Linked DNA regions of Drosophila melanogaster. The protein of the gene in region 1 interacts with the protein of each later gene in a pairwise test. Each region holds a gene or a part of one and is shown in the gene's direction. Other genes may lie near its edges. The genes, in order: twz, CG32354 and TfAP-2.

What was found.
Region 2: the proteins of twz (region 1) and CG32354 interact in a two-hybrid assay, tested with the Drosophila melanogaster proteins (one large-scale study listed by BioGRID).
Region 3: the proteins of twz (region 1) and TfAP-2 interact in a two-hybrid assay, tested with the Drosophila melanogaster proteins (one large-scale study listed by BioGRID).

Annotation. Positions count from the first base shown.
Region 1 is NT_033778.4:21,571,123-21,580,988, reverse strand, and holds the start of twz (tiwaz), read left to right. Parts: upstream 1-4,953; 5' UTR 4,954-5,007; intron 5,008-9,180; 5' UTR 9,181-9,561; coding exon 9,562-9,572; exon of another isoform or gene 9,573-9,866. UniProt on the Drosophila melanogaster protein: Functions with the transcription factor TfAP-2 to regulate octopamine neuronal signaling pathways that control behaviors such as male aggression, male mating, and the initiation of feeding.
Region 2 is NT_037436.4:8,411,965-8,424,822, reverse strand, and holds CG32354 (uncharacterized protein), read left to right. Parts: upstream 1-2,617; 5' UTR 2,618-3,756; coding exon 3,757-3,982; intron 3,983-6,963; coding exon 6,964-7,984; intron 7,985-8,040; coding exon 8,041-8,238; intron 8,239-8,299; coding exon 8,300-8,843; 3' UTR 8,844-8,966; downstream 8,967-12,858. Other genes in the region: mtrm (matrimony), read right to left, coding at 11,095-11,748; Exo70 (exocyst 70), read right to left, coding at 9,005-9,107, 9,163-9,296, 9,366-9,688, 9,748-10,478, 10,541-10,605, 12,014-12,525, 12,596-12,761, 12,815-12,858.
Region 3 is NT_037436.4:21,594,177-21,603,809, forward strand, and holds the start of TfAP-2 (transcription factor AP-2), read left to right. Parts: upstream 1-4,679; 5' UTR 4,680-5,105; coding exon 5,106-5,162; intron 5,163-9,633.

The DNA of each region.
Region 1 (9,866 bases):
ATTTCATGTGTCAGCGTTTTTAAGCGCTTTCAGCCCGCGGCATTGGCTCGGTTCGGTCTGCCGATTTGGGAACCTACCTCCCTCCCTCCCTTCCTCCCTCCATTGACGGCTAATTTGTAAAGTGAACTGATGGCTGCGCTTCCCCTAAACGCGAGCTTAGCTCAGCTATTTAATAAGCCAACAATGCGGGTAGTAAATGCGAAAAGAAATGCCAAATCCTTTGGCCCTTGAACTGCCCTGGGTAATGCGATGAGTTGCGATGACCTGGGATTCGGATTGGGATTGGGATTGGAATCGGGATTGGCCACTGTCGGAGGTTGGAGGTCACAATCAAAGTAGCCTTGCAGCAAGGGTGCGCTAGGAGTCCACAGTGGGCACTGGCTATCTATCATTCTGCATTATTGCAGAATAATGGGAAGATTACTTGAATTTATAAAGTGCTTAAATCTAGTTAAGTACGTAAGTAAGTTACACGTTTAATGCAGATACTATGTAAGTTACTTAAGAACTGTAGGAATTAGATAAGTTTACTCCTATATAGCTTACCAGTTTTTGGAAGAGTTCTACCATTCCTCACCTGGCAGATATCACTGTACCTTTTACACGTTGGTTTCAAAAATTCATCATTGTTGGCTGCTGCTGCATTGTTGCCAAAACCCGCTGCTGCTGCTGCTTCTGCCTCTCCGCCGTCCTCCCCCACAGCTTGCCGCTCCCCGCTGCTCGTGCAGCACAGCTTCCCCACTTACCGCAAACCGAAACTGACTGATGCCTGGGAGCTACTTTTGGGATGAAATATTATAATTACAAGCGAATGTCCTGCGGCCAAGGAGGAGCAGGAGCAGATGCGGTGCGCGGCAGGGGAGGAAAGGGGCTCTGGTTTCCCGGAGGGGCGGACGGAACGGAATGGGATGGTATGGAGCGACATCAGCCAAGCATCAGGCAGTTCAAATCGCAACTCTCGCTCGCTCTCTCTCTCTCTCTCTCTTGCTCTGTTGCTGTTTCTGTCGCAGTCTGTGCTTCGGTGTTTTCGCCCTTGGGACATTCGCATTCGCATTGCCCCACACCCGTGGCGGCACCCCTTGTTCTGCTTCTTCTTCAGTTGCAACATGTTGGAACGTTGTGTTTATATGGTCTATCCTGCCGGCAAAAGGATAATTTAGATGACTGTGATAAGCCTTGAAAACTGGTTTCAATGTTTCCAACATGTTCGATGCGGCAACAGTTAGGAGTGGGTGGTTGTGGGGCGGTGGGTGGTTGGCAAGGTGGCTGATTAGTACGTAAGTGGAGAGGCTGGGGGACGGGGTCTCACCCGTTATTAATTGCAACTGAATGGCTTGCAGGTATTTATTAAGTTTTTGTTCAATTTCTAAAACTGGCATTTCCATGAGGCTTCGTCCCATCTCATTTTCACTCATTTCATTTATATTAATTTAGTGTGCGTCACACACAAGCACACACAATCATACACATTTGTGTCCTGTACATACGGCTGTCAGCTTTATTGAAAATTAGCCTGCAGTTAATTTAGCATGCCATTAAATTTCTACATGCCCCTTGTCGTTCTGGGCCCAAAAAGTAATGCATGCAGATTATAACTTAAATATGAAATGTCAAGCATTGACAGGCATTTTTGAAAAGTGTGCAGCAGCAACAGCAAGTTTTACACCTCGGGGCCAATCCGTTTATGGTCCGGAGTCGGAGTAGTCGGGGTCTCCGAGCTGGAGAGATGGATATGGATACGGACTCTCGGATCAGCATCTCACGCCATGGGTAGCCATTGCCACAAAAGGCAGGCCACAGCAGAAACAGGAATTTATGAGGCCTTTTGTATTTGCTCCGAGGCGAAAGTGTTCAGGGGGGGGGGGGGGGGGGATCGAAATTTGGCTGGAGCTGGGGATTTGGGATTGGTACTGGTACAGGTATTGGAACTGGGACCGGGCTGGGAAATGGAAACGGGAAAGGTATACGGACTCGAGACTCTTTGGAGTTGACAAGGGTCACATGCCAACTGGAGGCAGATGCGAAAGGGGCGGGCTGCATTAGTTTTGTTTCAACTACCAGAGGCCTAAATAGTTTATTGCCTAATCAGTGTGAAGAGAACAAAGAAATATTTGAGTATTACAATTAACACAATTAGCAGAGAAAATATTTAAGTCTGATTTTTAAGTGTTTATTTTATTTATTATTCATATTTTACTTGCTTATTTTCATTCTTGCTGATTTTTAATAAACTTATTGCTCAAGTATAGCAAGCATATAAACTTCTTTCCCAACTGGGATTTAAAAAGCTCACCCCATTTGAAGATCTTAATCGTCGGCGTTTAACTGTTTCCCTTTTGGGCCAAAAAGTGAGCAAAACAATTACAAACTATCTGCCGCACTACAGTGGCTCCTCCATTTGCTGAACAACTGATTCAATTCAGTGGACTGGTCGCGGCTTCCGTTTAATTGTGTGGCTCACACGCATTCTGCACGATTTTTCCCCACAAAAATCCCCAACCCTTTCACCTGCCGTCCCCTTCGCCTAAATGCTCGAATGCAGTTCGTTTTCGTGTGTGTGAGTTTGGTTGAGTGTGTGTGTGTGTGCGTGGTAGTGGGTGGTTACTCCTCACGTGTAACAGATGTCTGTAAATTGCTTTACTGACTGACTGACTCGCCAGTTGGCTGTTGGCGGTCGCTTAACTGCTGATGTTGCTGCTGTTGCTCCTGTTTGGTTTGTTGTCAGTCAAAGTGTCAGTATGTATGTGGCTAGCTTGCAGGTGTGAGTGCAGGTGTGACTGTGTGTGTGCGTGCATGTGTATGGGTGAGCATTGCACTTATAACTGCATTAATACGAGCTTATGGCTCACAGAATCGGAGGACCCATTAGTTATTGCTGCTGCGGCTGTTGTTGTTGGCCCAACATGCCACACACACGGCACACGGCGATGGCATTGCTTACAGGTGTGCGGCATTCGCAGCTTGTCAGTGGCCGCGTTTAACGCTACACTTAAACAAACAGCCGCGTGCGTCCACAAACATCGTACACATGCAACCGCTTACGCACACTTGCACACTCACACACACACGCACACGAATGGCGGCGGAAGTAAGGACAACAACAACAGCAGAAGGCCAGGATGTGGCCGCCTATTAAGTGATTTTAACACTTTGCGCATGAAAATTGCAAAAAGGCAACGGCGCGGCGTTGATAATTATCCCTTAATTGCTTAATGAGCGGCACTTGAGCAGCGCCGTCGACAGAAGCGACGTAAGTTTAATTAATGCCAATTTAATTACCACGCCACACACACACACGCACACACACATGAAAGTGGACGCATTTATGGGCTACTACTTACCGTTGTGTGGCACTTAAAAGCCGCACTTACCGCATAGAATTCTCTCACACTTTGTAAGTGAATTAAAGGCTTACTTGTTGTATATCTTAATCAATCGGATATGTTAAAAATATACAAGTTTTTCATAGCTAATTAGTATTATACAAATATTTAAAGTCTTGAATGCTAGGTATTCATGCAAATTGCTTTTCTTTCTACCATTTGAAATGCAATTTTCCAAAAATTCAAATATCTCGAAAATCACCATTAATAAACACTAATTGCTCCCACATATCTTGTTTATCTAAGTGAGCACTGGTTTATAGTTTCGGCCAGAGCTTCGGCCGACTTGTTTCTGGCCTCGAAGTTGGCCGAATGTCTCTATTAGCCAGGGCCATAAGTTATTTGGTTGTTTGGCTTGATTAATGTTCACCTGCCTGTGTGTTCCGAGGAAAACTTAAATCGAACGATGGACTCGGAAGGGGGACTTACTATTCGTAGCAGCCATTCGGACCTCGCTTTGTAGATTGTCAGTGGCAGCTTAGTTTTCGCTCAACCCTTTTCCATTGCCTGCCGGCCGGGGGCAATCTCTTCTTCCAGTGATCTAATCTTGTTATTGCCCTGACCGCCGTCTCCGGTTCCAGGCCGGCATACCCATAAAGACATACACATATAAACATGGACGAGAGTGATTTAGCTGATGTGCCAATTCAATTATTTCTACCTACATAGGATTTTTCCACATGGCACCGGCAAAACATATAAACACCGATAAATGCCATACATACAACAAGCCATGTGGCATATAAAATAGTGAATGTAATTTTATTCACATGTCTGGCCGCAGGCCAATCCGCTTTGCCCGCCGGCACCAAATTGCACAGCAACAGCAGCAACATCAGCCACCCCGGAACCACACGACGCACCTCTCCGCATCTCGGGTGTCGGTCTTTCTTCGGTGTATATATAAATATGTATATATATATATATATATATATGCCACATTATATGCTGGGTACAGGAAGGGGAAAGGGGAGCGGAGCGGACCAGAGAGCTGAAATCCATCATTGGCGCATGGCCCCGGGTCACATTTGGGTTGAAATATTATAATTACAAGCGAACGCCCGCGGGCAAGGCGAGGAGGAAGGTGAACCGAAGCTGGAGCTCCGGCGTCGAACATTGGCATCGCATCGCGAGCTTAGCTTGGCTAACAACCACACTGGAACAAAAGTCGGCTGCTTAGATAGGAAATTAAAGTATTTCACTGAGAGCAAATTTGAAAGAGTTGAGACCAACTGCTGTCCAAGATGGACTGCCAGTTACAAACAGACGCTTTTAGATAGTTTTTTCTTTCAGTGCATGGAAGGGGGTTGGAGGGAACGGGCCAGTTGGACGGGCGATCGAAGTCGCCTGCTGCGGATATGGATACTTAGTTGTGGTGGTTGTGTTTACGTTGCGGCTGATAACATCCCGTTTTGCTGCTGCCGCCGTCGCTGCTGCGCCAGATGTTGCTGCTGCTGCTGCTGCTGCTGCTGCGGCTGGCGTCGTGCCCCATGTTGCATGCAACACGCTCGACGGCACTCGGCACTTAGACCCCAACGAGCCCCCCCAAAACAGTCTTTTCTCAACGGTGGTTCAGTGTGTTTGTGCCGATGGTGTTTGCTTTTGCCTTCGACAACGGCAGCAGGTGAATAACAGTGTCTCTGGCTATTGCCACATGCTTTTTTGCGTTTGTTTTCGCCCAGCCTGGTAACTTGTTGCACGGCACGTGTTTGGACAACTGGCCGGGTGTCCACATTAGTGGGCGGGGCAGCTGCAGCGCAGGATAACAGAAAACAGAGATGAGTGGCATATAATTTAAGAACAACACCGAGTGCCGGTGCCGTTTGCCTATAATTACCCACAACCAGCTACCAACTAACTGGCCAAAGAATCACAGTTTTTTTTTTGTCCCCCAAAATTCATCTACATACATACCAATGCACAAAAATACACATACATACATATGTACAAAGTCCGGCAGCAGGTGACAAGCAGTGTGAAAAAGCTGGGCGCTGGTACCCTCATTATATGCAAAACGCTGCGTCAGGGCCGCCAGCCACTCAAACTTAACTTATTTTTAACTTGCATATTTTTGCCCATTCTACGGCATTACCTCTGCCACTGCCTCAGCCAGTGCCTCTGCCTCTGAATGTCCTTAGGCCATCTTAGTTGCATGTTCGAGCAATCCTTTCCGTTCCGTTCGCTCGTTCCACCCCAAGAAGCTGGAAATAAAGAACTGGTCCTCTCCCATTCATAACTCGCGGCTATATCTTCTTTTGCGTTATATTTCCCTCATTCTGCTTGTCTCTGGGTATCAACTGTCAGTTTTCGAGCTAAAAACGCCGCCGGCTTAGTTTGTAAATCATTAAAATTATGCACACACACACACACATGCCTCACATCCGCACACACTTATTATGTACAATATGCTAGACTGTGTGTGTGTGTGTGTGTTGGGTTTGGTTGGAGAAGTTGGCCAAACTGCATAGGAATCATTATGCAGTTAATGACAAATGTCACGCATTGCTAATGACAAAAGGATGTCGGCAATCGACTCCAGAAGAGGCCCCTTTCCGTTCCACTTTTGCCCCCTCAATTGAAAGGCACTCTCATTTGCGAGAGTCCAGCTTTCACCGACCCCAAGAAATTGGTAAACAAACTAATAAACATAAAGCAACAAATACAATTCAGCACAATTTACCAAATACGTTGCATGAATAAATATTAATCCTGTGTTAAACAACCATATTTTATTTAGTCACTCCATCATATATATTTATTTTTCCTTTTGGGCAGATTATAGTTTGTTTAATGCATTTTATACCCACCTTTTTGTATGGGCTTTAAGGCACTTAAGTATTGCATTAGAATTAAATGGTGCATTAAAAGTATTTTGGGTCAAACTGAAACAATTGAAATAATGTCAACTGCATTATGGCATTTCGATCGAAACATATTTTTAAATCAAAGCCAAATCCTTTAGAATATAACAAATTCCCAAAAACGTAAGCTTAGCATAAATGGCATAATATGAAGGACCAAAAGGATATTCAGTGGTTATTCTTCTATTGATAATTTAATCAATTTAAAGGACAGCGAGTGATAAAAAGGACACAGCTTTAAAAGCTAAACAAACACCTCATTTTGGCACGCATTGCCTGTAAAATGATTACCATTCAAATGTTAATGTAAATGTTGTGCCACATATGGATGAATTGATGGGTGAATGGGTGGATGGGTGGATATTTTGATAGGTGGATGGGTGGATGGGTGGACGGATGGATGCCCGAATTGCTGTGATGGTTGATATGTGGTCGCGCTTGCTGCCACTGCCGCTGCAGTTCGGTCGTGCGTTAAAAATTTAACACGAATTTCAGGCTGCGGCGGCAAAAATGGCATCATTAAGTAAAAGCCCCGCGGCCAGACATTGTGAATTTTATGAGCCTTTTCATATATATGCTTGTGTATATATGGGTATGCTATATATGTTTTTGTTGCTTCCTCGCTGGGTATCGTTAATAATAAAAAATATATGTTCGCTTGTATGTGTGCGCACCCATCCACACATATACATATATACATACTCGTATATTTTAAAGCCCATCATACACATTTGCCATTTGCCCAGCCTTGTGATGATGAGTGTGTGCTCACATAAATAATAGTAATAATAAAAAATCACAATAATGATGATGCTGATGCTGATGGTGTTGGCGGTCGCGGGTGGCGTAAAAAAATCTGCGGAAATTCTCAGCATATGCGATGGCATTTAAATGTTTGTGTTTTCCCATTCAGCATTCAGTATGATATTGATTGACAAGCAAATGCACAAGCGTTGAATAAATATGCAGGCGAGTGGGCGGTATGCCCGCGGGAGGGCGTGGCGAGCGGGCTACTTTAAAAAGCCATCAACAAATAATTACAAACGAGCGCGTAGGAAGTGTATAAATGTCGACGCTGATTTCTGAGCTGATCCGCGGATTCTCTTTTACTACAATATATATCTTTCTATATATATCTATATATATGTATATACATATGTACTTGATGTATGTGACTCCTTGCACCCATATACACCTACCCCCCACTTCGCCCGCCCACCCCACTGCACTGCCCCCAAGCGATCCAAACAATAAAGCATAAAGCGCGCCGCACACATTTTGTCGAATTATTTTGTTGGCAGTCCGCTGGCGGCTAGCTGCAGCAAATTGGCTTGAAATATTGGTATTGCCATATGTATGAGCTTGTGTATGAGTGACTGAATACGTACGACTCTGCCTCTCTCTCTGTGTACGTGTGTATGTGTGTGTGTGCGTGAGCTTGTGATTAAAAAAATATTTAAAATGGCAAAAACGCAAAGCGACGTCAAAATAAAGAAGCCCGCTACCCCATTTTGCCGCTTGAAACAATAAAAGCCCCCCCCCAACAACCCCCCACAGCATTTCCCATTCCATTTGAGTGAGTGAAATGAGCGATAAAATTGCAACAGTTTCCACTCGTCGTACGCATTTGCTGCGATAAAGGATGAAAAATTGAAATGCCACTGCTCACGCGAAACAATTAAAATTTGACATGTTTTATTGAACACTTTAATGCCGGTATTATTTGCAGTTGGCTCCTCGCAATTTACGTGTGTGTGTCCCTAATTTATATAAAAAAAGTAGTAAGCTAAAACGTTTAAAGGCTATCGTGTAAAAAGATATAAAGAAAATCCCTTCCTTATATATATATATATATTTTTTTTTTTTGCTTACCTGCTTTAAGCTGGCATTCAGACACACGGTACACCATCTCTATGGCAGATCGCCGATTCTGGAAATATAGCGAAATATTATTGTGGCGCATGTACTTCAAAATGAATATGGCCGGGGGACAAATAAGCGAGCATTCCGAAACAATTGCCAATGAAAAATGATGCGACAGAACTCTCGGCTTGGGCGGAATTTTGGCCACCACCCCCGCGGGCGTTGCGTTCTCCAGCGGGCGGGGGTGGAAAGTTCGCACTCATTTTAATTACAGCTGCCTAACTGCAGGCCTCACTGTACTCGCTCAGCTCCGTCGTCTCCGCATTCCGCACACCCCTCGCCGCCTCCATTCAGCTTGTGTTTTGAAACATGGCCTGGGGCGTATTTATCACAAGTTTTTCTTTGCATTGCCGCCGGGCAGCAAAATATTTCAGCTGCCTCCGTCGCAGTCGCTCCTCGAACGACCCCGGGGCATTCCAGGCGGGCTCAGCTCAGCGCCCCAATGCTCCGTTCTTCGTGCTTCGTACCGCCGTTGCCGTTGCCGTTGCCGATGGCGATGCCGGCGGTTCTGGTTCTGCTTCTGCTTCTTCAAAGTCTCTGGAGCTGATGCCGCACAAAGTTTCATTTCGTTTGGCCGCGGGGCGCAGCGTTCTATGCTTTGTCATTAACACCAACACGCACACTCGTACACCCGCTCACGCACACAGAGGCAGTCGCACCAACACACTGGTGTCAGCTGTACATGCACCCACACACAGGCATACACATGGCCAAGGGCAACAAAAACAAACAGGCTTTGATATTTACAATTATAGAAAATCGACCATATAGAGATGTCCCCCATGACGAATGCAACTTTTGGGTTAAATTAGTGTATGCACTTGCCAAAAAATATTTTCAAATTTTGATCTATTTCAGAGTCTTTCATTAGAAACTACATTTATGAAATATTTTAAAATTCTGTAAGCTAGAAATTAATATTTCTTAATTTTTAAAACATAACAATGTTTTTCGAATGCTGTAACTCTAATTTAACGAAATAATACCAAGCAGTCTAATTCTTCTATTTGCAGTTACATTGTTAATTGCGGCAGATTAGTTGCAGGCCACAAGAAAACAAGAACAACAAAGCCAGATCGGACCACTTAAACCGGAAATAGACCATTAAACGCTCGAACAAAGGCATCATATGGTGGAAAAGCCAAGCCGCTAAACAACAAACGGCGCTCTCTATCTCTTTGCCGCTGCTTCTGCTGCTGCTGCTGCTGCTCTCTCAAGGTCGTCGGCTCAGACGCCAGCGCCGACGAACTTCACTCCACCCCCACTCGCAACAAGACGCAACTCGAGCCGCAACACGCAACATTGGGGAGCCGAACCATTGGCCATTCACCATTCGCCATTCGCCATCCATCAGCCAGCGAGCTAAATCAGTATTCGAGCAACTCTCGACGCGAATGCAAGTGAGGTAAATTGCCAGCGCTCAAAAGTAGGCAACACTTAGGTCTAACGGTGAACGGTGAACAGCGAACGGTTAACGTTTAACGGTGTGCGTTGTGTACGGCAAGCGGAAACGGAAGTAAACACTCGTTGGCGCGCGCTCATTTGATTGAATTTGAAAGGGTTCAACCGAAAGCGACTAGCGATCAGCAGATCGAAGCACACTGAGAATATCGAAGGTCACTGAAGATCGGACAAGACGAATATCGTTTATCTACGCGCGCGTTGTATTAAAAAAGAGTTAAAGTGCATTTCCTAAATA
Region 2 (12,858 bases), on another chromosome or scaffold:
AATTAAATAAACTAATTTTTAAAATAATTTGAATATTCATTTTGGGAATATGTTTAGAAATAATAGACTTACAGAATATAATCTATTGGTAACGATTTTCTTTTTCACAGTTTTCCTCCTCGAAAGGAAGTATTTTAAATTGTTATTACACAATGGAAGTTGCTGCTTGTTTAATGAAATTGTGTTAAATATATATAGGAAATGCTTTTAATCTACTTTTTGTAGGAAACCTTTCATGAAAATATGTGGAATCTCACGTTTTATAAATTAAATATAGTACAATACATAGGAAGGCACTATTTCTTGTATCATATACATCAACTTAATTTTAAGTCTTAGATGATCGATCAACTATCGCCTTAAATGCGACTTGTGTTGGAAATTGATGCGCCATACAAAGTATTTCTTTCCTTTTGAGGATATACTTTGTATGTACGTATTTTTCCTGCAGAGGCGCGAACTCTCCCCTTGCCATATAATTTCCGCCGTTTATCGGCCGATCCAGCATGCCGGGCATTATTTATATAATACTCGCACTGGTTTTGGTTGGCGATCGGGAAAAAAAAAAAAACAGTGATTAGATGGAAAGAAAACCCGCAGAACTGGTGCGTGGCTTTGGCCTTCTATCGTTTATTATGGCCATCTTTTCGCACACAAACGGCTGTTTCTATCTTTCTATTTTTTAATATGCACTGCCACTGCAGCCGCAATTTTCACTTTCCATTTTTATTGGCAACCGCAGGCGAGCGCCGTCAAATATTTGGCCAAAAAAGAAACTGCACGGCTGCCAAAAGGTTTTTACGTCTCCGCGCCAGCCTGGCTTTCTTTTAATTAAATTTTGCTCTTCTGTTTTCAGTTTCTTATTTATTTTTTTTTTTTTTGGCGGTCTTTTCCTGCGGTTTGTCCCCCTCATTTCTATGGGATCTGCAGCTCGTCGTGTTTGGGGTATTAGTTCTGGGCACTGGCGCTTAAAGCCGAGTCACGCCTGTCATATGCAGTTTGGCTTTTTCCGTCGAGCTGAGATCGGCTCGGCATTATGTTTTGTTTTGTTTTGTTTGGTTTTGTTTTGGACCTGGCTCTCTCTGATCTGCCCAAAAAGCTAACTGTAAACATTCACTTACTGACCTCTTTTCCCATGCGACGGCCACTTCCACCTCCACCTCCACTCAATTTTCTTTAATGCACGCGACTCCGCCGCCAATGATCTGCTTCTTCACCTTCCTCCACCCACCGCCAGCGCACAGTGGTTCCAAAACATGTGGAATTTAAGCACCCACAACGCATTTCCCAAAAATGATGATTTATTGCACAAAGTTTTAAGGGAAAGTACTCGTAAGAAAAAAAAGCAACATTAAAATTCTTAAAAAGATTGAATATTAACTTAAAGCTCATATGTCCCGAACCATGAAAGATTAAGGATTATGTTTTGCTTAAGAACATTTATTTACTTACTATTTATAGTTTAAAATATAACTTCATTTTTTATGTTACTAGCAAGTTATTTATTTGGGTAGCATTACTTTGTATTCCTTTTAACATAAGCTAGAATTACTTAACTAAAATATTATTATATCAAATATATAATACCTAAGACAATTAGATAAGGTCTAAGCTCTAATAGCTAAACTATGCCAAAATCAAATATTTTTGTGTGAATGCATTAGTAAACATGCACCTTAAATTGGCATCAGGACACTGTGCAAGGTGATAGTAGGCTATGTGTGTGTGACCCTTATTCGCAACGGCCGCTGAGGCGTAAAATTTATGGCTTTAAAGTCTACAAGTCTATAAACACAGCTTCCAGGCTGCACTTTCTACTGCAACTGCAACTGCCAATGCCAATGCCACTGCAACTGAATCGTGGACTCGGATCGTGAATATTGTATATTGGATGTGGGATGGTATGGCTTGGGTTTGGGCATCGGAGATGTTGGGGGAGCACGGACGTGGATGTGGATGCATCTGATCCGATCGAATCGTATCGTATCGAATCGAATCGAGTGTGTGAGTTATAATTTCAAATGCGGCGCGCCTTTTTGGCTGCATTTTGCTGCCACTTTTGGCAAATTAAATTTGTACGCAAAACCGATTAGGCCAGGCAGACATGACCAAGTTGTTATTTTAAATACCAACAACTCCATTTAATCAATATGCCCCGGCACCCAACAATGCACTCGAAAAACTTGTGGTAGTAAACCGTTAAAGTTTAAAAAGAAATATAGGTCTATTCAAAAAGATCAAGACTAGACTACATTTTTAACTTAAATTTACTTGCTCTCTTTACTGCTCTCAATATATGTTACATTTTGAAAGTTTGAAACTGCACAGACATGCATATCTTTGAATTGTATCCTTTTACAATCCACCATTGCTGTTATTGTACATTATAACTTTTTTATTATTATTCATATATATTTTTATTTTTTCATTGTTTTTCAACTTTAAAAACTTAAAGAAAGCGGTGCTTTTTGTCCTAACTGGAAATACTCTTGATTTAGTATTCAAAAGATGAGTGAATTGTTTCGAGTGTAGCTGCAACAACAACAGCGCTGGATGCTCTGCTCTGCCGTCGCCGACTGCGCTGCCTTTCACCCATATAAATTTCTTTTCATTGCAAATTTTTTGCCATTCGTCGGCGCATTGTCAAACCTTCCAGTCGCATTTGGAGCCCAAGCTTTCCGAGATTTCAGAGCGACTCTAGAGCGCACTAAACAAAGGCCTAAGAAAAAAGTTAAAAAGGCGAAAAAAGAAACAGAGGCAAAGACGACAATACGAATTGTACAAATCGGATGCGAGCGCGAGTGTGTTAGTGCCCATTCATTCATTCATTCATTCGAGAACAATAAAAAAGAAGAAATGAAATACGAAATGCAATCGCCGCAGTTGCAGTCGCAGTCGGCGTCGCAGTAGGCGTCAGCGGAGGCATCGGCCGAGGCAGAACAGTAGCAGCAGCATCGAAATCCGAAAGACAGATCATTTTTCATATGCGAATCGAAACTCGAAGAGCGCGCATCAAAGTCAAATTCAAACGACAAAAGAGTAACGGACAAAAGCGAATTGTTTTGTGCGCATAATAGAAACGAAAAAAAAAAGAAAAACGTTATAAAAAGCAAATAAAAGGAAAATAAAGCCTTACCAGAACCAGTAATTGAAATCAAATTAAAGGCGGGCCGTGCAAAAATCCACAAAACATCAAGAAAAAGCCATAAAGCCAAGGCGATAAAAAAGAAATTATGCTCCATTGTGCGATTGTGTGAAAAGGTCAAGTGCCCGGCAGGCAAAGGGAAAAGCGAAAGAGACAGAAGACAGCGTAAGACACGGGAGCTTGATGTTGATAGGCAAACGAATGAACTCGTAAAAGGGCGCTAAAGAGAGAGAGAGAGAAGGCAACACAACGACATCGGTTAACAAGAAGAGCAGGAAGAAGAAGAAGAAGAGCAGGCCAGGCCCAAATGACCGCAAGATTACCGTTAATTCGAACAGCTTAAGCGCCATTACGAGCAGTTATATAGTCCATATACTATATAGCACCACTATATCTCTATCTCCCTGGTAGATCGACCGAGGAAGAGAAAAAAAAACTTTCATCCACCGTGAGCCGCAGCCGCATAAAAGTTTGCTACTATTTCAATTTCAATTGTTAACGAGCGAAAGCGCCGCACGCCTCAGTCTCACATCACGCACGCATCCGATCCGAGCGGCAACAACAAATCATCAAGCGTCTAATAGGAAAAGTGCAGCAGACAGCCAGCGAAAATGCACCACAAACAGCATCTGCATCTGCATCTGCAGCCCCCCGCCCCAAACGCCACCCAAACACAGGCCCACGGACTTGGCCAGACTCCAAGCCAGATCGCCAGATGCAGCCATAACCACAGCCCCAGTCTGGGCCTCAGCTTTGGCGGCACCAAGAGCCAGCGACAGCTGTTTGGCGCACTCTTGGCCATGTTCACGTTGGCGGCATTTGCGTCAACCACCAGTGGTAAGTCGTACACTGCGAGAAATCCCAAAATTGGTGCTACACGTTGAGTAGAAAGTCACAGGAAGTAGTCTTAGATCATTCGAATCTCTTTCCTGGCATTCTCACTATTCAAATTGTTTAATTGCCTCAAGAAATGAATCAGCTAAAGAAGTATACGTTGATTCAGATTCAGCAAAGTTCCTCCTAACTAAATTAAAATCAGATTAAGATAAAACTAGGTTCCTTAAGCAGAGCATTAAGTCCAATATAATCATAAAAGAGAAAACTGACTATGGAACTCTTAAGCCATTGCTAAAGTAAAGAATGCTCTATTTAAATCCAGATTAGTTAACATTACATTTAAAAGGGCCTAATACAAGTTTCAAAGGGTATTAGTTTTCCTCTTGCTAAATGTACTTTCTCCTAACTATCACATCGTTATTGAGTTGCAGTTAAAACTGCGGACAGAGTTCTAGGGAAACCCGAGTTCTTCAGCGGAAAACGGCAACTGATCTTGAGCTAAATGAAAGTTGCAGACAGACTGGACAAGTCCCAGTGAGTGCCGTCTCAATTACCGCCTAATTTCTCCGGGTGTTGAAACGGAGAAGGTGAATCGGGGTCCGGATCTAAGACCTACAGCTGTGCGGTGGTAGAAAGGCCGTCGCAGCAGCTATTCAACTATCCATTTCTAAGGTACTACTCCGCACAAAGTGAATGTAAACTGGCACACATACACGAGCGCGAAGCTTCCAATGCCCCAACACCTCTCCCCCCACCGCCCCCTAGACCACGAACTCCCCAGTTTGAGGCACTCACTCCTCGACGCACAACATGCTCGTAAATATTTTCGTGCACAATTTGTCCAACATTCGTATAAATTCATTAAAAGCACGAAGGGGCCAAACAGAAGCCGGGGGCCTGAAAACGTAGGGGGGGGGGGGGGCTGGTGGAAGAGGGGCGAATCGCTAGCTCATGGGGGGGGGGGAAAATCAAGCTGACCGCACAGTGGCAGCGAGCTGGAAAGGGTTGGGGGTCAATTGGGGGGGTTACATCGTTTAAAGTTGACCCGAAGCGAAATGATTTATTTGACTTGTAAGCGCGATCGTTTGGCTAATTGATAACCGCACTTCATCGGAGATTGATGGGTGAAAGATCAATTAGTTTTGGATGCTGTGATATATGCTCGCATGCATATACACATATATATGTACATATGTACATATATGTTTTAATGGCCCCAATCAGTGGCGCCGTGATTCATTCATCTATGGGCTTGGTCATGTCGCTGCTCGCCACTGTGCCACACCAAACCGGAGCAAACCGAGTGCACATGGTGTGCTCCATGTGCATATATAGATATGTATGTACATATGTACATATATATATGTACATACCCAGTATATATCATGCAAAAGTCCCTGCCCAGCAGTGCAGTGCGTTGGTTGCTGGATTTTTCCACTTTTGAAAATTATACGGTGGCTGCTTTTATTATTTCTCTCGCCTTTTTTTTTTGCAATTGATGGCATCCGATAGGCAGGAGCCTGCCAGCAATTCGCTGGAGGCCAGGAAAATGCACCTGCACTGGGAGAAATCAGCAGAACATATGAACAAAAGGAAATCAGTAAATCAGAGGTGTATTTAAAATGCAAAATAGTATGGTGTATGGTGTTGTATAAGTTTGTACCATTAGTTTGCATGAGTGATTTGATTCTGAGTTTATCCCAGGACTAGTACCACACTTTTCTGCCAGTGCAGGATTGGTGAGAGTGGGTGGGGCGGTTGAGGTCGCATTGCTGCAATGCTGAATGAGATTGGCTGTGGTCTCGGCTTTTGCCTCTGACCATTCCAGCGGATCGTTTACATGTGCATTAATTCCTAACGCCGCTTAATTTTCTCCGCGCTTAATGGCTCCTCTGGATGCCGATGCCTCCGATTCAGATTCGGACTCGCATCCAGCCAGAGAAGCATCCGAGTCCATTAAGCTGAGAATGCGTCTGCTCGACTGACTGACTGGCTGGCTGGCTGGATGTTGAAATTTCCATCTTTATGGCCGGCAGCAGCAAATTGGAATAATGAACGTGGGTTCAATTATCGCAGCCAAACCATCGTGTGGCAGCCTCAAAGAGCGCTAATAGATTTTCTACTGCTGTTGGGTATGTCTATTTACGTTCGTATATCTTTAACTAAGTTGAGTGCTTCCTCCGGAGGCGGCTCTCACAGCTTTCTTTGCAAACAAAAAAAAAAAAAAAAATAAGAAAAATGGACAAATCAACCCAAACTAAACCAGCAGTTCCACATCCGACCAAAGACAACAGAAATGTTCGGCGCCGGAGGCAATTAGTGTGGAAATTTCACTTGCAGTTTTTAGCACAGATTAAGCTTACGATTTCTGGAGGGGATTAGCATGAACAATTATAGATGGAGGTCGCTGATAGTCCGTATGAACGAAGCGAGTGTATTAGCTGTGCTCAAACCACAGCCAAAACATAAATGCCATTGTGTCGTTTTACTTGGAATCGAGATTTGAAGACGGGTAACATTTGCCGTTGCCGTTAGTAAAAAGGGAAAGAATTATTCAAGTTAATGGCTGGTTACTTGAGTCGGTCATGCGATCACTCCAGAATCAGAGACTGGTCTCGGATGCGGGGGAGTGTCGGCGGGTGGCGGCATGGACACAGTGGGTCACAACTGCGCAAAATGCCCTATGATCGTGCGGCTAATCTGACATTTGTATGCCCACAGTTGACTCTTCCGCATGCCACCGCTAAAGAGCTGTGGAAAATGCGAAGGGAAAGTTTCATTTGGCGGTCTCGAAACAGAGTTACCCTGGGAAAATTCGATGGACAACCGGTCATTACGTGCGGGGAAGTAGTAATTATTACTAAGCTTTGTTTAATAAGTTCATATAACAGAGGAGGAGGAACTACTGTCTTGCTTTAAATGTTTAGAATTAAGTTTCTAGATAGAAACCAATTAAATTCTAAAATCATTTCCATCCACAGGCGCTGTGACAGACTCACCCATCAAGATTATCCGGCTGCCGGCGCAGGCGCCAGTTATCCGCTATCGCAGTGCAGATGCGGCGCCCAACTCATTGCTGATCAACTATCGTCAGGATGCGCGACCGGAGCTGTCGTCCACATTGATGCAGGCACCCGGAGCGGCGGCAGCTGCCTTGGAGTCGCTGCTGCGCGAGGAGACGGAGCAACAGCAGCTGTCACAGATGGGCAGACGGAATAGGGCTAGTAACACCGGCACCGGCAACTGTCCTCGATCCTGTCCACCGAGCATCACCGTGGGAGCTGAGCCCGTGTGCGGCAGCGATGGTCTGATCTATGCGAATATCTGCGAGCTGCGCAAGAAGACTTGCTCCCGCAGTGGAGTGTCGCTGATCAAGGACGTGCGGGATGGCTGCGAGAGGTCGAAGGGTTCGGACTGCAAGCACCGCTGCAGCACGGAGAAGGATCCAGTGTGTGGTACAGACGGAAGGACCTATCTGAATCGCTGCATGCTGAGGGTGCAATCGTGTCGCGTGGGATTGGCTGCAGTGAAGCTATCGCATGTGGGTCCCTGCAGCAACACGAGTGCCGTGCGTGAGTCCTGTCCGGTTGACTGCAACAGTGCGCCGAAGGATGGACCAGTTTGCTCATCGGATGGCAATGTATACAACTCCACGTGCGAGATGAAGCTGAAGACGTGTGGACAGGGTGTGGTGAAAACCAGCCGGAAGCACTGTCAGTCCACACGAATGTGCAGGGAATCCTGCTGGCGTGTGGCGAGGCCCACTTGCGGATCAGATGGCAGACTGTATGCCAGTCCGTGCAAGATGCGCTCTTCCAATTGCGGCAAGCACGTCTTTGAGGTTCCCTTATCCTACTGCATGTCGCAGGAGAGGCACGGAGCCTCCGATGCCTGTCCCACGGAGTGTCCCAAATCGGATACGGATTCCTCGTCGCAGTACGTGTGCGGCAGTGATGGCAACATATACTCTTCGCTGTGTGAACTCAAAATGCTCAATTGCGGGTGAGTTTGGATGAGATAAAAATGGAATATAACCAGACTAAAATTTTATCTTTCAGTCCACAGCGCAAGTCCATTCAAAAAGTGAGCATGGACAAGTGCAAGAATCGACTGACCCGCTGCAAACAGCTGCCTCCTTGCAAGGACTTCAATAGCTTGTTCGGTTCCATCTTCAGCTCGAAGCGAAATGACAAGCTCTGCGGCACGGACGCCAAGACTTATAACAATGAGTGCGAACTGGCCCACGCCACCTGCCTGTGAGTATCCATGATAGGATCATCCATAGGACATGGATCTAGCTCTTCAACTTCTTTTCAGACGCGGCGTGAATCTGGCCCACATTGGTCCCTGCACGGATCTCAATTCGCCCACCAAGGATTGCGGGGATGCCTGTACTCGGGCGGATCTGGAACAGCAGCCAGTGTGCGGCTCGGATGGCAACACCTTCGCCTCCATGTGCGAGTTCAAGCGGCGCACTTGCGATCTGCGTGTGGTGCCCGTTTCGCTAAAGAATTGCGCTTTAACCGCCGACTGCGAATCGGATTGTGATGCCCAGCCGCCAAGTTTCGTCTGCGGATCGGACAACAACTTGTACAAGTCCGAGTGCCACATGCGCAAGGAGAATTGTGGCAAGCATGTTTTCGTGGTGCCACTGAAGCGCTGCCTTGCCGCCTTTCAGCTTAAAGGATGTGCCCGCATCTGTCCCAGGGAATTCGAGCCTGTTTGCGGCAGCGACAATAAAACGTATCTGAACGACTGCTTCCTGGAGATCGAAAACTGCAGGGCGAACCAGACGGTGAACGTCAACTACTACGGCGCCTGTGGCCGCCCCGAAGCACCATCCACTAACTTCCTTTACTAGGACGTATGTATGCGTGGCGTCTTCATTTCACTTGGCATTTAATATTTGTAGGCTATAGTCTTGTATTGTACTTTTTTTAAAACGATATTTATTGAGTTTGAATTAAAGCCCCCCAACGAACTTACAAGGAATGCACTTAAAGCCTGGCCTGCATTTAACATCTAAGCCGAATCATCAAAGAGCTTGCTCAGCATAGCGTTGATCTCGTGCTGTCTGTACTTGACGTATTTGTCGGGATTCTTACTAAAATGCACTCCAGAGTAACTAAAAATGATACAAGATGGTTAGGTATAAGCTGATAAACCCTATATACGCTTACATTTCGTAGAATCTATTGTAGATGGGCAGTATGTGCTCCACATTATCACGTTTGATGCCTTCTCGCAGGATCACATCGGGTATGGAGATGCCCCGCTGGATTTTGCATGCCTCCTCAAAGTCCTTATTGAAGTTCTGGAAATTATAGAGGATGTTTTTTTTTAAATCAAGAAAGTTTAGCTTATTTTAAAAATAAAAACCTACAGAAAATCTCTCTTTGAGCACACTGCGATCCTTATCCTTGACCTTGCCGGCCACTGGTTTGGGCAGTTCATCCAAGGAATAGATGCCGACCAGCATCTTGGACCAGGTCTTTTGATAGCTAGCCTTCAGTTCACGTATCATCTCCATGTAGCTATGTTCGCACTCAGGCTCAGCCAAGGTGACCAAATCAATAAGATTGGAGCGTTGCAGCGACTTGAGGATATAGTGAATGTTATTTAGTCGGAAGAGGTGCTTGGTGGCCTGGTCATTGTACTGCTCGCACTTGTTCATTATGGAAAGATTCAGTTCGGCCAAAGCTTTCTCTGCAAAATATAGATAGTGGTTTAAAAATGTTCGCACAATTGATCTTGTTGCCACTCACTTATGTAAATCGCCAAGAGCGCCTTATTGCGTTCCTCGACTGGCAGCGCCTTCTTCATCAAAATGGTGTCCAATTGCGTGGAGTACAGGACATCCTGTGCCAAAATGGAACCAATAACATCGAAATGATCGTACAAGTGCTCAATAAACCAGATCGTATTGGAGGTCAGCTCGTGCACGGTGGCATCCTTTGGAACATTGCTTTGGCCCACAATATTGGTGCTCGATTCGCCCTTGACTACGTCCAGGAAATGCTCCAATGCCTTGGCACCGGTGTGCTGCAACTTTTTTAGTACTTTTTTCAACTGTTCCCTTTGCGCAGGATCGTATGTGCGGTCAATATCCGGCTGCAGCAGTATAACCCGCTTTAGGGCGGAGAATATTCCCAACGCCGAGGTCCACTCCTTGCGGGAAATGCAGCGCAGGATGCGTTGCGTAATGGCCTCAGCGTCCTTAACCACCAGATCGATGGCATTATAGGCCAAGGTGGCGAATACCTCGTTGTGTTTCGACTGGGGAATAATGTCGATCATGATGGCTCGCTCCCAGTTAAGTAACCGCTGCAGTCCCAGCAACATGACCAGATACTTGTCCAGTTCCTGATCGCCATCCATCAAATCCTCGGAGGTCAGGTGGTCGCTGTGCGATGATGCCTTCTTAATGGAGAACCCTGTGGACTGCTCAATCGTCTGCGTCGCGCGTAAATATAACTTGTTCGCCTTCTTTTCGAATCTATGCAGAATAAATTAAATATATCATATACGAAAACTTGGAAATTAAGTAATATTTCTCACATTTGCTGAAGACGAGCGGAGGTTGTCTTTTTTGGCTCCGTTTGGCGTCCACTGTGTCGCGGTCTCTGCAAGAAAACATTTTAAAAACATTAATTTGAATTGTTAATTGCCATTGCATTAATGTTTCTTCGGAATAATTAAGGTACTAAAATGGTAGCAAATTAAAAACTCTTATTTTTGTAACCTTTTAATATGCATTTGATTCTTATGAGTTTATTAATTTTAAAAATGTGTGTTTTACAAAAGCGTTTATACCCCAATTTTTTTTTTTTTTTTTGACAAAAAGTATTATGCAATTTGCTAGCTTACGAAATAAATTTAAATTTGTAAATGAGCTTCGGAGCAACATTTTAGGAATTACATAGATTCTTAAAGTGTACTAGAGTTTATTATTTAAGGCTAAAAACGACGAGCTTTAAGACACCAGGTCTTTTACAATAATTCTAGAATACCTACTTAATTATCCACATATATTAAAATCACAAAGTTTCTCTTCACATAAAACATTTTAAAATCTTAGTGTATGATAAAAGATGGACATGCCAGCGATTCACTTAAAGAGTGTGGAGCACATCCATGATACGGTTGCAATCCTCATCGGTATTTAGGCCGATTTTAACAAGATCAGCACGCTCCAAGGATGCCAGTTCCACCAGATCGATGTGAGCCTCTTCGAAATTGGTCACATAGTTCTCCAGGCCCATGTGCATGAGAATCTGTTCCACATTGGCGGCATGGTTAACCACGTACGAGTGGTTCGATGCTTTGATGGAACGACGACGCGACTCCAAGGCCAGTGAGGTCTCCATATTCGAGTCATCCGAACAGGTATCCGGGCTGCTGCAGCTCTTTATTTCTCGCTCCGGCTCGATGATCTCCTCCTGCGGCTTGGGCAGCACGAATGGCGGGGGCTTAAGCTGAGTGCGATGGCAGTGCTGATGCTGCTGCTGCTGCTGCTGCTTGGGATGCACCTTCGTTGGCACTTTCTTGAAGGTAGCGAACCGCATGGGCGACACTGGACTCTTCCCCTTCGTGCCCATATTCTCGATGGGCGAGAGATTGGGCGAACGGAAGTTGCCAAAGATCGGAGTAGAGCATCGCACGTTGGAGGTGTTCACCTTCAGGGTGTTCCATCTGCGCTCCTTTAGCGTTGGCGTGCGATTAAGCGTAATTTTGGTCTTGTTCGTGGGCGTGCGAGAATTCTCCATTTTTTTTAGATACTGTGACACAGAAAATGATGCGTTCTTTGCGAATTCAAGCTGGCAAATGGCGGTCATCGAATTGGACATGTAATGCTTACATGCACAAGCTTTTTCGAACAGACACCGTTAACCGAAACGATCAGAGATGGGAAAAGCATACATATGCTCATCATCGTACACATCGCTATTCATATTCTACTACGTACTATTTTTCTCCACATAATATATATGTATTAATACTAGTTAGAATATGAAAGAACTGTTTACTCACCAGAGCCTCGTGACCCCAACTGTTGCTCTTTTGGTGATCCTTGAGCAGCTGCAGCGATCGGAGAACCACTTCGCCCCGTTCCGTCGCGTAGATGTTTGTGTACTCCCTTAAATTTTGCTCCAACCAGTGCGATATGGTGTACAGCTCCTCGCGCGTCGTTTGCGAAAGCTGCCGGAATGAGGTGTATTCATCGCTGGAATCGTCCTCTATGTAGATAAGATCCAGCAACTCCACCGGCTTCAGCGGAGCACTGTGCTTCTTGAGGAGCATACTATAGTGCTGACTCAGGCCTTCGCAGCCGGTGTTAAACAAACTGGTGACATTCTCCAGCTCCACGCTCTGGGAATTGTTGTGCCGGAAGTAATCGTTGGCATCGCGCAGTTTGGCTAGTGCGTCGAGGAACACCGAGATGTTTCCCTCCACCGGGCCTTGATGAATCAACTGGCAGACCTCTTGGGAGACATCGTAGTGGGACAGGACGCTTTCCAGACAATTGAGAGTAGCTTCCAGATCTAAAAAAAAAAAGAGGCGGTGACACATTAGTTTTTTTTTTTTGAAATCCCATTGAGTTTATTTTCATACTCTGCTGCCGTTTCTGGAGCTGCTCCGTCTCCTGGTAGACGGGCAATATGGTCTGCTCCAGGTTTCCCAGGCGCTTCTCGAAGATTGTTAGAATACTGGACATTTGCGTGGACAGATCATGGTATTTATCCACTCGATCTTTCAGCAGAGCTAAATTGGTGGCTTCCTATGAGGAAAATGGGTAAGTATGGAGGTTTTGAGCATGACAACTAGACATACCTTCTCCAATTTATTGTGCGCCTGCAATGAACTGTCCAAATTGT
Region 3 (9,633 bases), on another chromosome or scaffold:
TCTGAAACTTTGGGCTATCTTAGGATAATCCTTTCACTCGATAGTGTGTGTGTGTGTGTGCAGGCGAGCGATATGCTCGCAATTTATGTACGCAATCGCAATCTACGGTGGGTAAACACAGCTGCAAATGCGTTTCCTTTGACCTCGAATTTAAATGGTCCGCCCTGGTGCTCCGCGCTCTATCGCCTATCTGCTCGTACGCCGAATTGCGAAAAACAGAGCGGATTAAAGGTGCACATGAGCACAGCCGTAGGAAATATGCTGCAAACATCCGCCATCCGCCATTCGCCATCCGCCTGCTGCAACTGCATCTGAAAACGCACACACCGCCGCACAGAGAACCTCGGTCGGAGCTGGGGCACACTGAAAGAAATAAGCGGTGCACTGTCCCGCTCAGGCTATCACAATAGATTTTGAGTTAGTTCGTATACATAACATATATACGCTTTTCATGTTATGTCGTGCATTAGCCAGTCACAGTTTTTTTCCAGTGCAGGTAGGGGCAAAAGCTGGGCAGCAGTAGAGGACAGGAGGCTGGAGGAACCCAGGACTGCGACGAGCGCGGCTCACTCGCTTATCTTCCCCGCGGCTATTGGCGTCGTGCAACATTGCAGGAGCCGGAGCAGGAGCCTTTTCCTGGGCCTGCGCTGCTGCTGCTGGAAGACCGGCCAGAAGAAGAGGAAGGAGGACCTGGCGAACGGACGAACTGGCGAACTGGCGAATGAGCGAAGAAGCGACCATGGGCCATGGGCCATGGGCCACGACCATGTCGCTGATGATTCGCATTCGTGTATCGCAAGCGGGCCACAGCCGCAGCTTTTGGCTTCCCCCGAAATTTGAATCTGCCTGCATCTGAGGACTTAACGAATATGAACGAAATGGCCCGGGGCTGTTTCAAAATATTACCACACTCGAGTATTCGAGCAGGGCTACGTACTACATATACATGCGTTGGACTCCGAGCCCAAGTGAATGCGGAAAATTATGGCGAGGTAGTTGCAGATACAAACACTCAATCACAAGGGCTCCATTTGCATACGCCGCTCCCCCCGCCCAAGTCCAGTCCAGAAATCCATGAGGTCTAAGCAGTCCCATTAGCCATAACCCCTAGAAATCTTAGGCTCTGTCCTGGAAGTGCCTATTCCTTTCGCTCTGAGGGATTGTTCCATTTAAGGGCCTTCTGCTCTAAAGTTACGTTCGTTAATTAGACATTTTTCTAGATGCATTGTGAGCGGGGGAATTTTTAGTGGGCTTATTCAGAATAAATCTTTGGGTTATATTCTACTTATTCGAATATATACTTACTTCTGTCTGTGTGTAATCTTAGAAGGAGATCAATCGAATAAGCAATAGATGATCGTGGTGTTACACCATATATGTACATAAATTCTTTCGAAAAATTCAGAAATGTAATTAGATCTTCAAGTGTACGGTTTTTAAAAAGATTGTATTGTAGTAAATATATCTCAGTACTAGATTTAAAAGTGATGATTTTTGTTGAATTGCCTAAGAAAGTAAATACCTTTCAACATTATTTCCCATGCTACAATCTAATTACATTTTTGGTTGCACATCGTCTGTTAAAATTTTCGGAAAATCACCACTCGAGAGCTGATTGTGATTTGCATGTGGAATGGATTGAAATGGAATGCACTTGTCTGCGGCCGGCAAGGCGGACCAAAAAGAGCGGCTTGCCGCTAAAGGAGTCGCTTGAAGTCGGAGTAAGTGCCACGAAGCCACAAGTCTGGGCAGTAGTCATGCAAGTCCTGCGGCATTCACGAGTTTCCCCCCGGCGATCGCATTTAAGACGCATCTTAAATGAGGTGCTCAGGCCGAGTCCTCCACTCTTGGGCAGTTGCGATCCCCAGCTCCTCGGCTCTTGGGTTAGGAGCCTCCCGGTTAAGAGCCAGCTTATGACTGGCTCAAAGAAAGCTGCCATTTTCGGGAGTGCACTGGTATGGGTTGGGATGTGGATGTGGATGAGGACGTGGATGTAATTGTGGCTGCAATGGTGTAGGTGTGCGGGTCGGTAGTTGGTAGTTGCACAGAGGTGTACTTGGGTGCATTTACCATGGGCACACGGACCACTGTGCATCACGATTTATGCCCGGTGCTGCGGGGAGGACTGGGAATTAATTGGTAATGCGAGCAGTGCATCAGTATCAGTATCCGTATCAGTATCGGTTTTGGCTTTGCCTCGGCATCCGAATCGGGTCTGAAAATGGCGGACCGATCATCGATCGATCGATCGATGGATGGATGGATCGATCGATCGTTCTCTTGTCGTGGCCGCAATCAAAAGTCGTGCCGCCGCAATGAAATCGCTGAAATGGAGGTGGGTCGTCCGGCATTCCACCGCCGCAATTGGATAATGCACCTGATCGCCGCTTCCACTCCACTGCACTCCACTCCACGAAATTTACTGTTTGGCCAGCTCCTCCGAGGTGGCTTCGTGAGTGGCTCCGCGTACATAATGTGCATGTGCAGTCGGCGAGATCACGGTTTCACATCTCATTTCGCCCTGCCACAAATTCGGACTTAATGACTGCGTGCCCGATATACTTTTCCTCCGAGCTTCGCTCCTTCTTTCTCGGCTGAACTTTGCTCTGCTCCCCTGGCAACAGAAGATAGGAGCCCGAATCCATTTGAGTCACTTAGAAAGCTAATGGCATAATTCAATTGGGGCGGACAAACATTCAAAGCTCGGGTTGGGCAATCCGCCGAGTGATTCAATTTTCCACAGCCGCTAATCCTTGTCCCGCTTACTGGCGGATCTAATTGTGTAACCTGAAAACAAAGCAGGAATAAATGAAATGAATGTCTCTTGAGGATTGCGACGCTTACTTTCAGCTTTTCAGCGTGGTTAATAGAACAAGGAATTCAAATGATGGAGATTCATACAGAACACCACGTTGATACTAAAGATTTATTCCTGGTGCTCAAGACTTATCTAAGTCAGCGCCTTTTTAACCCAACTTTCACACTTTAACCAACTTTGTTGATTTCTATGGCCTACTAACACATGTAACTTATAAAAAGGTCTGCTGGTCTAAACGGTGGCAATGGTTGTATTTTATGTTAATTGATTAAACTTTTTTTGCAAAGTCCATATTTTTGGATAGTTTGACACAAAACAATATTGACGAATAAGAATTTTCAGTATGTTTCATTACCTTATTGCTATATTCATGAGTTTGAGTAATGAACTAAAGTTTGCAAAAAGTATTTCGATGCCTTAACAATATCATATAATCGATTTTCTTGCCATCCAAAATTTTTCCTTATTTTCATCTCTATTACTATATTTTTATGGCTTCGCATATGAAAAGTCGTTGACTTTTGTTATTATTATAATTGTTTCATGAAGTACTTATAAAAATCTAACAAATAATTGACTAATTAGTTAACTATCAATATTTAATTTTAAAAAACATCAGAATGGGTAACTTCTATAGCTCTGAAGTTAGTGAAACATAATAGTGTTCCTGATTTGAAGTTGTGAAGCACCTGTCCTTAAATTAATTTTCTGATTTGTTTCGATTTTTTTAATTATAATCGTTGTAAAACTAACTATACTATTTAGATAAAGGTTATTAAAGCGGGACACAAGTAAGAAGTTTGCTTGTTATAAGTTCATTGGCAAGCCAAAATAGTTTGTTTATAGTGAACCTTTAATTTTAAAGAGTGCTTTAATTGTCCTAAGTTCCTCTATCGTGTTATATATAAAAGGGAATTTGTAAATTAGAAATCTTTAAGCATGCGAAGTGGCCTGCTGTTGATTTTCCGTTTGTTTAATCGTTTACAAAAATTTTACCCTCAAATGTTCGAAAGCTACAGCCATAGAAAAAATAAAAATCTGCTATTTTCAGTTTGTTTTGATTATGGCGAGCAAGGACCCACACTCACGCCCTTACATATATGGGTAGATTTTTATGTAGAATATGTAAATCGGGCGGACAGCCTCTTTCACATGGCAACCCCCGAACGTTCGATAAGTACGTAGATACATACATACATAGGTGGGTCGCTTAATCCCCGAGAGAAGAAAGAACCCGGAGCACGTACCACTGGCGATTTGGGCGTCCAATGCCGGGGTTTTCCCAGTAGCAGCCCGGGCTCAGAGATCCAGCAACCCTCGGGGCACGGGTGCGTCGCCAACCCCGGCCATTCGCATGCGATTCCACCCCTATGTATTCGTATTCGTATCCGTATCGCACTCGCATCTCGCGAGCATCCGCATCTGGCAGTGTGGCTGTGTATCCGCATCTGTGTGTCTGTACGCGAGCTGCGCTGCCTGCCGCAGCCTCTGGGTTTTCGGTTTTCGGGCTCGGCCCATTGTCTAGTAGTCCGCTGGCGGGGCGTGGCTTCCGAAATATAAATGGCTGTGCTCTCTTTGGGCGGCGGGCTCTCTTCGGAAGCCGCTCTTCGATGCCCGAAAGCCAGAAAACCTGCTTGCCCGGCGTATCTGTGTGCGCCTCACACCCATACAGACGCGCGGCGCACGGGCATAGGCTTTGGGCACTTTTCCTATGTATTTCGCAGCTGTATGGGAGAAAAAACGGCAGCAGCCGCGGCAGCAGCAGCATCTGCAGCAGCAGCAGCAGCAGCCGCCGCCGCAGCAGCAGCGGCAACATCGCACATCCCCCGAAGGTTTTTGCGTCCAACCAGAAAATCCAACTTCAGTCGAGAACTACGTCTGGTGGCTGCGCAAAGGCGGAATTTCGATTGCGGGTCCTCGCTTAATTAACCAAACCAAACCAAACCGAACCGTACCGAACCAAAACCGTACCGAAACCGCTCCGTTCCGTTCCGAACCGATCCGCACCTAGCCGAACCGAAACGATCGTGGATCCGAACTGCAAATTAGTTCAAATACAATTAAATCACGTCTATTGTCCTTCAATCGGGGAGAGTGCAGTGTATATAGCGGCGGATACGGAACTCTAGCTCCAGCACCCACAGTTGCCTTAACCAGTGCCAAAAATCGATTTTCAATAAATACTTATTTAGTGATCGTACCTGTTTTGCATTGGCCCTGGCCCAAGTGTTCAAAAGAAAACCTATGCTCTCCAACTAGTTGATATCGCCGTCTAATTTGGATCAACATGCACATTCTACACCGCACCAACGACCATCAGTTCGAGGATCAGAAGTTCATGATGGTAAGCTGCGCGCCTTTTGCAGGATACTTCGATCGGAGGAGGGTCGGGTCTATCTATCCAAATTGTCTGTCAGCCGAAATCTGCCCAGGCTAATCCCCGCCCGAGCATCGGCGCAGCTTTAGCTACTCAAAATACTCAAAGATATTGAACCATCGAGTGCCCATGGGCGGACGAGCTTGATTGACACTGAAATTTCTTTGGGCATTTTGGGGCACGCAAGCCTTAAAACCATTGGCCAATTACGACCATTGGCCAGCGATCCGGACCGAGAGATCTGCGCCCGTGATTCACATTCACACACAAGCTGATTACCATTCCGGGCCATTCTAGCAGCAAAATCAATGAGCAATTTACAGTAATGGGTTCTCCTGCGACTCCGTGTGGCACACTCTGCTCTGGGAATAATAAGTACATAAACTTCAACCTGATTGTGCCCACTCCAAGAGTCCGGGGATCACTCAAGTGCCCAAGAGGGTGTGGGGCCCCGAAAGCAGACTGCGATCACAGGCGCATGCAATTCTCTTGTAATTAGAGGTCTTAAACCTTGAAAATGCATCTTCAAATTTAAATTGACTTTTTAAAGTAGGCAGTCTTAAACCTCAAGGAGTCTATTTAAAAATTTTATTAAAGTCAGGATCTAAAACCTGAATACAAACGGTGTTTGTTTATGGTAATCAGACATTCAAGAAGTCAGTTTGCTTTTTTTGTTATCCTAGTCGAGATGCATTGGACACAAATGGACCAAATCGAAATCAAATGTGCATATTCGTATTCAGATTAGGTAATGTTCGATCAGTATCAAAGTATTAATTTTAGTTTCCCAGTATCCTTATAGGTTTTCTTGGGCTGAAAACTCTTTACTAAATGCAATTCTCTATTCAAATATTATAGGGCGACAAGACTAAAGAATATAAAATCTTATTGAAAAAGCCAATGGGTCTGTTAACTTATTTTATTTACTTGTAATTGAGAAACATACCCTTAAAGGATGCAATGTTAGTTGCACTCATTTTTAATTTTATTCTGTTTTTTGAACGGGCAATTTGGAATCATTTATTTTTTAAGACGGCAAAAGTAGCCGTCGGAAAGACGAACCTTAAAACTGTAGCTAGCATATGTATATGTATGTGTATGAAGTCCACTGTTTTTAGAGTAATGATTCTTGAAATCTTTTTAATCTTCTTTTAAATTTCATATACAAATTTATCGTACAATATTTACAGTCTTTGATCGTTTATAATATCTATAACTGTAAATGTAAATCCAAGAGAGAAAGCCATGTTATGCTTTCTATGTTATTTCGATTAAAGTCTCTATAAGATTTGTACTCTTAGTATTAGTATTTGTATCATCAGACATAAGCCTCAAATTAAGCGGTTTGGCTGTTTCAAATATGTGCGTTATGGGAGGGAAACCGTATCTGAAAGTAAAAAAGGTCCTACATTTAATGCACTCACGATTTCGAGGCAGAGAGCAAAAAGTGACGGCGGTGGGAGTGATCAGACGTCAGTGGTCAAAATTCAAATGCGAATATGGAGGAATTCTTGAAATGCGTGGGTACACGCTCCCCCATTTAATTAGCGAAATTATATGGTGTTCTTGCTTCCAAGAACTTTTTCGATGCCCGATAAAAAAATAGGGCAATTTGCGGGGCAAGGGCCAAAGATCAAAACAAAAACACAGCGAAGAGGTAGACCAAAAGTCATCGCCCACAAAAATCCGAGTCCCGCCAGCAAAGTGGGCATGTCGAGTGTGTTGGCATTAGCTTTGGTTTTGGTTTGGTTTGGTTTGGCTGGTCCTGGTACTGGTCCTGGACCTGTCCCTGGCACTCCGAAGACTCCCAAATCAGGTAAGATCCCACTGGGACACTCGCGTGATGCGTTGCCAAAATAATTTATGAGATTGAAGCGCAACGCATCGTCAATTTGCGTGCGATCGCCAACTAAAAAAAGAATGCCATACAGACTGGCAGAAAAGTTCCCATAGCCCAGCTCCCAAATATCAAAAAGTATTCAGCATTGGGCTTATTTATTAGCCAAACTCCGTTTCATCCAAGAGGTTCGGGCTCAAAGCCTGATTGATGGCTTCCCTTATGATTTATTGAATAATTTCTTTATAATTTAGAATAATTGTTCCAATTTACAATGTGCACTTTGTAGGATTGCGAGGCATGTTGGTATGGTAATTGTGCGCAGGGCTAGGGATTGCATAAAGAAATGAATAAGCGCCATTAAACTTTCCCCCACTTCCAGATGCAGGAATACTATAGTCTTGATTAAAAGTAAATTATATAAATGGAACTAGAGGAAACTCGCAATAAGATGAATGAAACAATTTCGATAGGATCAGAGTGTAAGACCGATCCGTGTTCATATTTGCATATTCGCATATCATATTTATTATTTCGCCAGTGCGGGCGAGATAATTCCGAGTCCTTTGCATCCGCTGGAAGGCATTTCCGCTTCCACAGACATGCAGATACATCCTCGGAGGAAACTGGAATTGCATATGCACGCATCAAAATTGATTTCATTTGCGGAGAGGAAATTAAAAAGTCCAAACAAAACCAAATTGATTGGCAAGATAAATGTAAATGTTCATAACGTGGCCAAGATCCTCAGCACAATCCAGAATCAAGTGTCGGAACCTCGACGATGTGGACGGCGTGTGTTAGGCTCGTGGCAAACCAAAACCAAAACCAAAGCCGTGCAAAGCACCACATCCACATCCTCGTCCGATGCCAAAAGCCAAGGCAAGAGCGAAATCATCGGTTGGCCGACATGCGTTGGCCTTGCCTCCTCGGAGGCAGAATGTGGAGGATGGGGAGGCCAGACCTGCAGTTGGCTCACGAGGCTGCTGCATCGAAAGCCGGCCCTTTGGACGCAGATTGCAAACGGACGAGCCGAGCTTAGCTCAGTCGAGTTCGGAAGAAGCTACACAGGGAGAATCATTGGGTTGTGAGGAGCTCAAAAGGAGATCACAATGCCAGTGCATGTGGAGTTCTTGTAATCATAGTTTCCAATATTTCTTGTTTATCTTATAATAGTATAATATAGTATTAAAAAGCAATACATATATGTAAGTTTATCGCATGGTCATATTTCAATTTGCAGAACGAAGTAACCTTAGTCCTATGTATAATTAGTAGTGAATACTATATACGGAGATTCATGTAACATATCGTATAATTTGCATACTATACAGCAGCCCATAAACAAAGTGGTTCTCTTACAACACTCTCGACCTTTTCTCGCAGTGCACATGCATGGTCGCCAAGTGGGCACTTTCGGCTCGTCGTTCTTCTATTCGTCATCTGCACGCTAGAAGATGGGACGCAGCTTTTCGATTTTGGCCGAGCAGGCTCCGCAAATACCCAGCAGGTTTAATACATTTATGAATGGGTTTTACTACTTCATTAAGGGCTCCTCCGCTCTTCCGCGCATTTGAGGGCCAAGGAGCTGGAGCTGGAGCTCGAGCCGAAGGAAGAGACTGAGGATCCAGCCGAGCTCCAGCTCTGCGGATTGGAGCGCGTGCGCAGCCAGGAGGAGGAGGAGGACGAGCAGGGCAGGAGTACCTGCAAGAATCGTAATAAGCAGAAATCGATTATCGTCCGCTGAACATTTCCATTGTTGTTATGAATATTATATGCAGCGTTTGGAGCGAAGCTTCCTCTTAAATTCGTTTAATTTATAGCTCTTCCGACAGTTCCAACTTGCAGTTCCAATAAATGACAGCACCGGACGTCGAACGAGTGTGTAATCTAATTGGAAACGAGCGCGGCTTAGGGACCCACTGTACTGCCGGTTCGCGGATGGCCAGTGCAGACCATATGTAAATTCGCGCCCGAAATGCGCAGAATGGATTCTTTATTTACTGACAATATTATGACAATGCCCGCATGAACTCGGCCTATTCTATGGCCGCAAGGCGGTCCTTACGCCACTCGATGTTTCCATATAACCTGGTCACATCCCTCCAGAGTATTGAGGTCCAGAGGGATGCCCTCCTCCCCTTCCTGGAAGCCCACCATCATTCAACTTGACAGCGTAATTAAAACGACTGGTCCACACGATGAAAGTGAGGAGTTTTATAAGATGTTAGGGCCTACTTGTTTTATATGTCGCAATATAATTGGTGGCATCCAAAACCCGGAGACCAGGTAGTGGCCGAAAAAAATGCGAACATCGAATCGCGCAGGCATGTTCTTTTCTTGGGCGGGCACTCTTCTGCCAGGCGGAATGATTTGGACCGGCAATTTTGGTAATAGCGGCATGCCGGGATCGAGGCCAGCTCCTGTCCATTGCACTGCTACTGTATAAGTATCCAGAGTCATTACGTCATCGGCGAGGAATCCGGACGTGATTGCTCTTATGGAAGCCACGTGCTAATTTAATTATTATTTGCAAATACTTTCAAAGTGAGAGCCCCTCGACTCTTTCACCGCTCATTTTCGATTCTTGATTTAATTTAC